Styela clava: one gene and its partner. The main gene of each other region encodes a partner of the protein of the gene in region 2 in a complex. Links are inferred from orthologs where the notes say so. Each region holds a gene or a part of one and is shown on either strand. Other genes may lie near its edges.

Region 1 (6,314 bases), on a different chromosome or scaffold from region 2:
ACCGGACAAGAGGCCATAGTTTGCTATATGATTAAGTCGTCTTATGTCTTTCCTCTCCCCGGGATAAATATGTAAATCCTATACTAAAAGTTTGTACATACTAATATTATTGTAATAAAAAACTGCAACTGATAAGCAGTCATATGAAGATCAGCACTATTACCCAGCACTGTTTTACGTGTTCATTCCAATAACTGAATGATCATTACTGCGTAATTATCCATTGTCAGGTCTTGCTTCAGGACATGTTACTTCACTGGAATTGAAACACTGTGTCAACTACATTCAAGATAGTGTTAGATCATGGTTGAGTGATTGTCATTTGAATACACAGCATATCGTACAGGCCTCTCTTTTTTACACTGGAGAAAACCTTTTACCTGAAAGCGTCCTCGGTATAGTAATAGTTAATAATTATATTTTTGTGACACTTGGCATAAACACTTATGCAATTTGTTGGTTTGTTGGTATCATCTTTGAAAAATTGTTGCAAAACGAGAATGATTTTGGTTCATCTTCTTAAAGATTTGTGTATTAAAGTGTTCGATAATGCAAGGTGAATTTTAAAATCTGCAACGATCGTTATGACAGCCTGCATTTAACCAATAACTTCACTTTCCTTATTTCTTTATTAGAGTATTGGAATAAAGCTGAAGAAAGTTCACAAATGCCTCTCATCACACCAGTACAAGTGAAGAAAATATATATTAATAATAGATTCAATTGCATGACAATTTCTTGTTTAGCCTACAAAAAAATAAAACAGTGAGATTAAATTGCTCTAGTCTGTATCACAACCTCAGTTCTCTCAATTAATCAATTAATTAACTACCTTCTTCGCAACCAGGACTGGTGGTCTGATTTAAACGACCTTGTGCCAGGATGCAGTTTTGAATGTAATGTTCGACCCACAAATCATGATTTTCCTTACGAGTTCGGGGATGGTCTGTGTTGGGCCCCATTGGTTTGACAGTCCCTTTGCACAACTTGATGTAAAGTAGGCAAACAAAATTATCTACCTCCACATTGGTACATACATTTCTGGCGCGACCAAATCTGTGCCATTGTCATTGCTATCTACCTGGGGAGCATGAGTAAACGAACGAGTCAAATTCAGAGGCTATTGAAGTTGTTTCTTTAGTGCCCAAGATGTGATTGACCGTAATTACATATGGTCATGACCAGCAACTACATTTTGAGCATAATTGACAGTGATATGAAAAAATGTGTAAAATTGCATAAACATAATTAGGTTTGTATATATACCAATTTCATTTGACTGGTAGTCTATGTCTAGAACTAGCACAAATGTGCCCACATCCTGTTGGACATCTGCCTTTGCTATGTGGATAATTAAACCAATCTTTCATGCAATCTATATGTCCACCATGACAACATCCTTGGCACCATGTATACAAACTTTTCACAACTAACTGGCACAGTGAACATTTTATACCAGCCCCCATGCCTGCTTGTTTATGATCATTATCAGAATGTTTTGAACAACTCCATGGGTTTGCAGTTGGCATTCGTTTATGGCAAATTCCGCAACAGGTGTTTAGGGTGGATGAAGTGTTCATATTCTTTATGGAAGGAAGTGTGCTTAAATTAATAATCTCAGTGAAATGGTTCCATAGTTCATAACGACTGACCAATTCCAGATATGAATTTTGCCAATGTTCCAGCAGATGATCGTCAATAGGAAGACTTATTGAGGGATAATAATGACCCAGGACAATCATTGTACATGTTATAATTTGAATGTTGTTGCCGTTGCTTATCATAGACTCGTACATTGAAGAAAGCAGTTCAGTTTTACGACTGATTGACAAAGCAGGGTTTTCATAGGGTCTGGTGTAAACCACAGGAGATACTGATAATTGTTCATGTGGAGATGAAGATTGTGAATGCAGGGAGACAGCTGAAGGGCCAGAACTCCGACTATTATTCTTCTTCCTCCATTTTTCAGGGTTATGATTCTGCTGTGATGTTGAAGATGGAATCATAACAGGAACGGCAGTTATTAGTTTCTCTTCTTCTCCACTTATAGCTGGATCAAGCTGGTTTTCAAAACCATCAGTGGCAGTTAGTACAAGTCTCTGTTTAAAAGCTTCAGATGGAAGTGTAGCATCACTGATTGTATCGCTAAGAGGATACCAATCCTGATCCATGTATCCTTCTGGTCCTGAAGAAATACCACCGTGATGACCTTTCCCAAAGTCCTCACTCAAATCATACTCATCAGAGTAATAACACTCTTGTTCAGATGTAGCATGGCCCTTTGCTATATCTGTCAGGTAATGCTCAGTCTCTGGATCTGAGTGTTGTTCGGATTCTTCTCCGTTGCTTTCCCCAGTAACAATCCCATTTTTCATAGACTCTCTCCCAGTTTTAAGACTGCTTATTTCTGCTGAGTTTGTATGAAATGTAGTAGAGTTGCTTCGTTCTGTCTTTTTTGTCGAAACTCCTTCAAAAAACCTTTCCAAATATCTCCATATGTTTGCATCAATGCTCATTTGAAGATCATCACAAACTTTTGCATTGTGTAAACATAGTTTATTAAATGCCATTCCTTGTAGCTTGTATTGCTGGGCGGCCTTGATAAGACTTGAAGGATGTACGTCCGAGGAAGTAGGAAAGTCATCTTCTTTGATAGGAGTGATACTGTGTATCCCAAGCTCTGATTTAGCATTTAGAAATCGAGCAAATTTAATATTCATACTACTAGTAGACAATGTGTTTTGTACCCACGAGTTTGTATCCAGTTTTGGAGCGACCCCAACAACAGTTCTAAAACCAAACCGTGTCATTCCTTTAGTCTTAGTACTAGGTATGGCATCATATGAATTTGTACTATCAGTGGACGCATGTCCTATATATCCTCTAGCGCTTACAGAAAGACCAGAAATGTTACAGTGTTCTGATGGGCGATGTGCATCTCTAATGGAATGTTGATATAGAGTCCCATCTTTAGAACATGAAAATAGAATTTCTGGATCATTTTTTTTCCACGCTATACCAGTTGTAACATCAGTGTGTTCTGTAAAATGAGCAAACGGCATGTATGGTCGTCTCATATCCCATACATTGATAGAATGGTCCAGCATCATTGCTACACTTGCAATCTGTTCTCGTCGTTGCGTTCTCCACCGAGCCATGGCAACTAAAGAATTTGTTGGTATCACCATATGCTCAGACATTTTGTGATCTATCATATCCCAAATTTTGACTTTATTGTCTCTGCCTCCTGTTGCAATTCTCTGTTTATCTTTGGCATCCGGATGCCAATCAATTGAATAAACAGATCCTTTATGGGCTATGAACTGCATCAAACAGGAACTTGTGTTTCTGAAATAGAAAATTATAATAATCAAACTTTTGTCATATGAAACTAGCTTATATTTCTCGGTCATGACTTGAAAATTTGTTCAACTTGCAATGGTGTTTACATTTCATGATTAAATTCAACACGAAGACTTTTGAACCAAAAGCATAGAAGATCAAAACTGATTAATTCCAACTTTTAACAAACTTAAGGCGTAATTCACCTGTAATCCCAAACTTGAACAGAACCATTGTCAAACGATGCCGCAAATTGAAAATATTCATGAGGAGAAAATTGCACACATCGAACACCATCAGTTTTACTGGAGAAACTGGCAATACATTCCTTTTTTCTCATGTCAAACATTTTCATTGTACAATCTTGAGAACCACTAAGCAATCTCCCAGGCTCAGAACTATGAAAACATACTTTTGTAACAGTCCTTTTATGATCAGTAAATATTTCGAGTTGTTTATTTCTGCCTGATGCACTTAAGTCCCATGCAATGATAGCTCCATTTGTAGCAGCAGTTGCGATTAAACTTTCATTTAAATGATTCCATGCCACATCAGCACAGCTTAAATTGAGCCCTTGTCTTCTTCCGACTCTCAAGTTTATTTTTTCCTTAAAACAAGTGTCATCTACTGAATATATTTTCAAAATAGTTCGTCCAGCAACTGCTATCATAGAGCTGTCTTTGTTTGCTGCTAGCATGTTGATAGGTCCACCCACATCAACATACATTGTGCAATGTTGGTTTGCATATGTTACTCCATTTGAGATATTAGTGCCAAAATCTGATACTATTTGATTTCTCTTCATTGTCTATACCAGTATGCGGTATTCAATGGATTTAATCAATGGACCTGTAAGAGATAAATTTATTCAGTCAATTATTTTTTATCTCAGAGTCTTAATTTTATTCAATTATAACGTATCAATGTAATGTTTTTGTGAATTGACCAACTACAGAATTTGGTACCATAATTTCATCAAGAATAAAACCATATTCTGACTACTGTAAGACCTGTCTATCTGAAAAGCTAACCCACAATTCCTGTCAGGTGTCATTCTGCAGAAATTCTGGGTCTCGTGTAGTTTCGTATCGTACCTAACGTACTTCTAGCGGGCGTAGCATAACAATTTTTGGGTCTCGTCTAGTTTCGTTCCACAATAACTTCTAGTGGGCGTGGGTAACAATTTTTGCATTTATGATTCCTGACTGCGTCATCCAAAAATTCGTCACTATCACGAAATACTGAAATAGAGCTTGCCAAAGGGCGACGAACACCCGTCACAGTGCCTACAAGAGTGCAAGTACATGCCTCTCGTAGGATCGTTTCGCTGATCTCCTAATTAACAAACGGAACTAAAGCGAGACACCTATTTTCACCAAGCAACGTTCACGGATCCTCATCTGAACAATTTCGTGGGTTGACACTGGATATATTAATTAATTTACATTCACGCAATTAATCTAGTTTGGTACAACCGTAAATATATACTACTACGGTGCAACACACCTAAGGACTTGTTATTTTTAAGCAATAGGTCATGTATTGTGCCACACTTTATCAATGAGGTGCTATACGTTTTCACTCTAAGAAAGACTTCAGACAAGCAAAAAGGGACATATTAATTTACGTCCACGCAGAGGGTGTAGTTGGGTACCACACACATAAGGACTTATTATTATTTTTCACTCTAAGCAAGAAAAGTGCATATTAATTTACGTTCACTTCGGTACCACACACATAAAGACTCATTATTTTATGTCCAGCGATAGGTAATGTATTTTGCCACACTTCATCAATAAGGCCTTATACGTTTTCACTCAAAGCAAGGCTTTAGACAAGTAGAACAAACATATTAGTTCATGGTCACGCAGGGGGTGTAGTTGGGTGCCGGTTTTATTTATGGCACCTCAGAACTCGGCATCATCATAGCAAATTAGGTATGGGGTTACGGTGACAGACTGACAGCTTTGTGTGTTGGTCGTAGCCGCAGTAGAGCTAAATGACTCGTTTGTTTTATGAATAAACTTTTTCGTGTAAAAGTATGTAAGCGTATTCTTGACGCCGATCGAGCAGTGATGTTTTGCAAGTTTGAATCAACGCCATATGCGTGGCATACCCATGAGCATAGCCCTGAAAATGTCGTTTCGTTTAACTTCAGGCAGAATTTCCAAGATTGTCGACTACAATTAGTAAACTAGAAAATATATGTAATATATATTAATGTACGAAAAAAATTTCATGCAGTTAGATACTATGCAATATACAACAATCTTTCAGCTAAATATAACAGTATTTTTTGTCACAAAATTTCTTATTTTTCAAAAATAAGGAAGTCTTGTAAATAGTGTATTTAATCAGGAGTGTGCAAACTTTCCCGCCGGCGGGCCTGATATCAATACTTGGGTAAAACCGCGGGCCGCACCTTCATTTAACATAGGCTTTCTAAAGTAACAGGCACAAAATAATGTCTTTTTTTATTGATCTTATGGCATTATTATGGGTCGTTGCAAAAATGATGAGTTGACGCATAAATTTATCAAACTGTTATTCAAATTTATTGTCACTCCAAATTTGAACGAATTCAGTGGGAAATTTGCTGCTGGGTTCTTTTCCCGACTACCTTAGCCAAATTTGCTTTAATGGAAATGCTAACAATTTGATATTCATATTTCGAGGCTTCGAGAGATGTTTCCGGTAAAAATCGCCAAGATTAATTTCCAAATAATTTGCTGTCAAATCTTATTCTAAATTAGATTTAGACAAAATCAACTGATAGGCTGAAACCAAAATTTATTTAACTTTTGTATTTTTTAATAATATCAATTAGGAGATATAGGACCCTGTAACGCCATAGGCATAAACAGTGAATTGGGCTCGGATACGAGCTTTGCAACGCACAGGGAACCAGATTATAAACTGAATTACACAATTTCGATGGCCACACACCATCAAAAATTGGCACTTTTCCGCGA
Region 2 (6,314 bases):
GGAATAAAAATGACAAAACTGCCAATAATTGGCTCCAAAATTATGTGTACCAATATAATACCAATTTTGTTCACCCACTTTATATCAAGTTGTGTAAAGGGACGAAAGGCTATGGGCAGGGGGTATATTCACTTGGCTAACACAGACAGTCCCCAAACGCTTAATAGAACTAAAATAGGGAAAATCGGAATAAAATTATGGCCTAACCTGGTACATACACTACGGGAATACCCAATAATTAGTAAGTTTTAACAAAAATACATAAAAGAAAAATTTTCATCATCAAACCTCGACAAATTTGATGTTGTCACATAAGTATTCGAATATTGAAATATAGAAATCAATTCGACAATTCTGTAAAATGCAAGATCCCTGATGCAAGTTCTTGTCAACCTTGGATCAACATCAGCTAAATATGCGATCTTCTGAACATGACGAAATCCATCAATGAATGGAAGAATCTGAAAAAAAGGAAAGCGATGATGGTACGTCCTCGTGCAATCAGTATCAGAAAAAAAAAAGAATATGGGTTGGTGATTTAATTTAATTATGAATGCAAATGTTCAAACAGTTTGGCAATCTAATTTTCAGCCCTGAAAATACAGATATATTCTTCATTTCTGATAAATGTCCCAATTTTATAGTAAATTCATAGAATGTGCTAAATTTATTGTCAAATGATTATTCTATCAAGAACTCATTGAAAATATGGGAAAATGGGAACTAAAATAAGGAAAATCGGTAAAAAATTATGGCCTAACCTGGTAAACACACTATAGAAGTACCCAATTTTCAACCATGAAATATTCAAAGCTCACATCCATGAGCATTTCTTACCTTCCTTGTAAGCCAAATTACAAAACCATGTTTAATTATTAACTCACGAGTGGAGATTGGAAACCTTATAAAATATAAAAAAAATACGGTACTCCTGAAGTATGCACACCAAAATGTCGCGTAACCTGAACTCTAACCTGGTACACAACCTGAGTTCAGGTTGTGCGCCATCTTGGTGCGCATACTTCAGGAGGTCCCACTAACTATGGAATATTCAAAATTCACATTAACTACAATCTTACCCTTTCTGTGGTCAAATCCCATCCTCCTGGCATGAATTCATCTATCGATACCATCAGTATCGGCACATCATGATCTTTTACTACAGGAGGAAGGGTTGTGGGGGGAAATACTTTTAAAAATAAAGTTGTGTTATCATTAACCCTTGTGCAGCAACTTCCTTTTGTATTTAGTTCTTCAAGCATATCGCGCAGAATATCTAGAAAAATGTAGGAATGTAATCTGTAATGGTAATAAACCTCAAAGGTGATTGTTTTACAATCAAACCAATAGAGTACAGCAGTGAGGAAACCTTTTGTCACTCGCGGGCCAAAATTAAGGTTGCAAGTCATTGACGGGTCGCACATATTTTTAGAAAGTTGAAAATTTCGAACGGATGGTACTTTTTATAATAAAAATCAAGCACTGATACATCTCTCGAATAGAATATAGATTTATTTCCTCATTGCATCTCATAAAATCCCATTTGAATATTTTCAGCGCCATTGAACCCTTTGCACTTAGAATTAACTTTTCCGCGTTTTGTTGCCATTTGCCTAATTATAATTAAATTATATGCTCATTAAACGAGTAATTGTGAATTATATAATTGTTGGGTTATAATATAATTAAGTCTAAAGAATATATTCGTCAAAACGGATGTTTTGTTACTATAATTTAGTGAAGCGTCGCGGGCCGGATTATAGTGCTCCGCGGGAAAGAAACAGGAGCAGGCTATTTTGCATTATTATGCACACACATTTCGCTCCAAAATATGAGATCTGCTTCATACGACTGTAAAATGAGTGTTTGTATCGTGAATGTAATATTAATTTGGCTATTTTTGGGACATTTCATAAATGTACTTTAAACGAGGGTTTGGATATAGATCTACGGATACAATATTTTAAAATAACCAGAATCTATGTTTATGCAAAACCTACCAAATTCTTACACCCTGAAAGAATGAGACTTATTTTTTTGTTTAAAATCAAGATATATACTTAACATAACAATAACATAACTAGCTGTATTGTCTGCACAGGGCCAAATATATTTTTGAGTACTCCCGTAGTATGTGCACCATGTTAGGGTTAGGCCATAATTTTATTCCGATTTTCTTTATTTTAATTCTATTACAAGTCAGGGATTGTCTGTGTTAGCCAAGTGAATATACCCCCTGCCCACAAGTTTCAGTCACTTTATATAACTTGGATGTAAAATAGGCAAACAAAATTAGTCACCTCCATATTGGTACACATACTTCTGGAGCGCCCATTTTTCAGTTTATTTATGAAAAAGACTTAAAATGCGATGGTTTTTATTTCTTATTGGCAGTTAAATTGAGCAGAAGTCCTAAATTTCTTTCAAACCAGATTTACAGTTAAGGGTTGTTTCTTACTTGGAATCATTTCTCTAGTCTCTTCATTAGAAACGAAGCCATTCTCCTTCTCAAGTTCTGACATATATTTTGAGAGTTGTTTGATCATTGGAATACAAGGAGAACTCTTATGTTTACTATCGAGCACCAGACCAAAGTTAAAGATGAAATTATTTCTTGGATAATGAGATCCCTCGATACATACTGGACATCCAATCACTTTCTTTTTCCCTACATTCCTAAATACAGTATTAATTATAGACAAATGATATTTACTGCGTGTTATAGTCACATTTTTAATAATGCTGCATGATAGCTAAAGAGAAGCAAACACAGCTACCTTCATTTCAGAATAGCCCTATGAAAATACATAGTTAGGACGTTTTTTGTCTGAAAAAAGTTTCTTCTCACTCCAGAGATTCAAAATGCAGGTCTAAGTCAAGGGTCTGAATTGACAAAATCTTAACTCACTACAGCTTACAAATGTGAGAAACTATTTTAACTACTATTTTAACCAATAAAAATTTGGACTCCCAACTCTCTCAAAGTCCCAAATACTGAATCCAGATTCCAAATAGTACACCCTTTCAAATCAGACTCTGATTGAATACCACCAATTATAGTAAACCACAATTCTCTACGATAGTCAGAATCTAGGAATAGCTTGGTCATAGTGTATTGCAGAAAATTTGATTAAACAAAAATATTTTAATCCCATTTACAGCTCAGAACAAGCTGAAGCAGGGTTGTGCAACCTGTGGCCTGCAAGCCAATTGAGGCCCACCGGGAAAAATTGTGCGGCCTGCGGAGACATGCCAATTTTGGATTGTGTGCGGCCCGGGAAACGCAGTTTTAATTTAGTTTTATCTGGTATGAGCGAGTAACCCCAATACCTTAGAGTTGCAAAGCCTATACCCGAGACCAATTTTTACGACGTTACAATGCCCTAACAGCTAGCTAGCTTTTTGTGCATGCAACTACATTAAAGCCTATGTTAAATAAAGGTGCGGGCCACGTTTTCTTCCAGTTATTTGAATGTGGTCTTCATGTAATAAAGATTGCACACCCCTGGGCTTGAGATATTCTTCCCTGTTATTTGACCAAATTTTGTGTGTATTTCATTCATTTCAAGGAAAATAAATTACAAAATATACCAACACAGTTGTCAATTTCTCTTGTAATTCTGGTTTAGGAATGATATAATTCGTAACTTCTTCAAATAATCCTTCTTGTTGGTTAAAATATCCATCAGGATACTGAAATTAAAATATCATATCAAATGATTTATTGCAAAGAAGGAAATCAAGTCATAACAATAGGAAGGACAACATCACTGATCAGAAAACTATATTCCAGAGCTAATGATAGTTAGACCAATATTAGATGTAGTAGATGTTTTACAATCATGAAAATTTGTTCAAGTTATCAGATTTTTGAAAAACAAGAGACGAAACTTGAACTTATACAACAATTTTACTTCTACATTCAATATTCCCTTTTTTTATATTATTGTACAGAACACATTAAAAATACTGAGACATATTTCAACCTTATAATATTCAGTCATGGACAATGTTCAAGAAACAACAAAACAATGCTTAAATATGAAAAACACAATCTCTAACCACTAAAAATTCCAAAGCAATTGGTCCAGGAGTTGAAGAAAAAAACGATTTTTCCATAACCATAAGAAGAAAAATACCAAGAAGAACAATAACAACATAATATTCACAAAACGATTTATAGGTCCACTCCATTGTTAAATACCTGATAAGTTATCTTGGGTCCTTGCAAATGATGAAATTCACTGAAGAACATACATTCAATAGGATGTTTCGCAATGTAAGACTGCAATGAATCGTTCATATTGCTGCATTCAATGACCTTCATGGGTCAGCGAATACAGTTAATTAAACTATCAATTAATCTACATTGAAAGAATTCAATTAATAATAGTTTAACATATAACAGATTATCACAAAAACAATTTTTGATGAAGATTTCGATTCCCATGGTAACGAATCCCCCAAAAAAACTGTTTTGATGAGTTGAGTGATTCAACAATATGTAAAAATAAACGAAAATGAGAAATGAATGATGATAATTTTAATAATGCTTGAATAGATCAAAAACGTTTTTGAAGCAATGGCCTATGTTTACAAGGAGGCCTGGATTATTGGAAAACAAAACTCAAAATTTTTCAATAAAAAACTTTGATATTTGGCCCATACACGTCAAAACCAAATCAATGTTAGAAGAAAACACTCGTTCATATTACAAGTACCGTAATCGTTGTTTTATAATAACTTAATCAAATTTTCATTACTACCGCTTATAATATAAGAATATAATCAACATGTATAGCATATTTGCTAATGACAATCAAGATAGGTTTTTTATATTTATCCTGAGCAAGGCTGATGAAATGGCTTAATCCTATGGTAGACTGTTTCTTGTCCGGTTGTATGTCCAGGACAAGTATGGGTATAGATAACTTTGTAATTGTCTCAGGTCTATGCAATTAATTTGAGAATGAAAAGCATCTACTGAATGATAATTTGAATAGCCTACTATTTTTATCTGCACCAAGAATGTGAGGAATAAATAACTTGGAGATAAGAAAAAAAGGTAGAAATGATTGTACAATATTTGAAGATCCATTTTGCAATACTTGGTTTACCAAGCTGATAGAATTTCTATATAAACCCTGAGATTGAAAATAAGATGAATCATTCCATAGCAAACCACAGTCCAGTATTAACTAGAAACCAAGTCAGGCGCACTTAATCAGGTAAATGCTGCCTTGTTACTGGAGTATTCGGACGGGACTAAAGCCATGGATTTTTGTTGTAAATGGAGCTGGCAGAAAGTTTTGCAACTCCATTTCATGCCCATCCTTTTTTTTTCAATTTATAATTTTCTAATTCATTAAAATAATGAAAAAATTCCCTATCCCATCTCTAAGGTCAAGTGCTAAAAATGTAGTTACAGTAATGTTTAGATATAATTCCTACAAACTACACAAATGCATTTAATAATGCTTTTATTAGAAGGTATTCCATGAATGAACATAATTATGAAAGCCTCAAAATACAATAATAACACTACAAAAGTATTTTCTTAAGAGACGAAACATTAGTTTGGTATGATATATATTTTAAAACTTTAATAACTAATCAATCTTCTGAATAAACATTATTCAATATTCCTCCATTCATAAAAACTTGGGATCTGGAGTAAACTGAATAATTGCTGAAGAAAAACAGCTTAAAAATCAAAATTGGACTACGTACATCAAAAACAATTTACCAAGTAGTTTGAAAATAGACCACATTATATCACGATTTCAAAGCAAAACCAGAAAAATACATTGGACTATACGTAAACTGACATCTAATTTAACCATTTCGTAGTGATTTCCCTGATTATATGATATAAGTCAGTTTAACATTTGTTGGAAATCAGTAAATAAAATAATTCAAGTACCGGTATGCCATAATTCCCACAAGCGCTAAAATCAAAAACACACTTTTTATTAAAATTCTGGAATAATTTATCGTCTATATGTAACTGCGAAAAGTTGACCTCACAAATATATTCCATGCATAAAAAACATTTGGCTATCACAATCTATATACAAGCAGTTTAGTTAACAAAAGAAAACACGATTTATATACCAGTTCATGCAGTTTATGTATCATGATTTTGTCACAAAACACAATATTATTGGCACCCAGAATTTAATATTATTTTCAACTAATGCTTGAAACAGCCTTTCGGCTTGATTTTAGTCTGGCAGGAACAGCATACATTGGACTAAGTAAACTTAAAAACATATCTGAAAAACAAACGCTCAGATACGGAAAGGTTGTCAAAT

The links. The genes of interacting proteins can lie anywhere in the genome.
Region 1: GATOR1 complex protein NPRL2-like (region 2) and GATOR2 complex protein WDR24-like share a complex: the UniProt entries of both Drosophila melanogaster proteins name them as parts of the GATOR complex. The link is inferred for Styela clava from reciprocal best matches to the Drosophila melanogaster genes Nprl2 and Wdr24.

What each region holds. Positions count from the first base shown.
Region 1 is NC_135253.1:6,286,310-6,292,623, forward strand, and holds GATOR2 complex protein WDR24-like, read right to left. Parts: upstream 4,188-6,314; 5' UTR 4,148-4,187; coding exon 3,549-4,147; intron 3,349-3,548; coding exon 1,272-3,348; 3' UTR 770-1,271; downstream 1-769. Other genes in the region: uncharacterized protein LOC120326470, read left to right, coding at 231-395, 636-769. UniProt on the Drosophila melanogaster protein: An essential component of the GATOR subcomplex GATOR2 which functions as an activator of the amino acid-sensing branch of the mTORC1 signaling pathway.
Region 2 is NC_135262.1:4,333,547-4,339,860, reverse strand, and holds the start of GATOR1 complex protein NPRL2-like, read right to left. Parts: upstream 4,346-6,314; 5' UTR 4,328-4,345; coding exon 4,205-4,327; intron 3,694-4,204; coding exon 3,596-3,693; intron 2,677-3,595; coding exon 2,459-2,676; intron 1,277-2,458; coding exon 1,080-1,276; intron 462-1,079; coding exon 289-461; intron 1-288. UniProt on the Drosophila melanogaster protein: An essential component of the GATOR subcomplex GATOR1 which functions as an inhibitor of the amino acid-sensing branch of the TORC1 signaling pathway.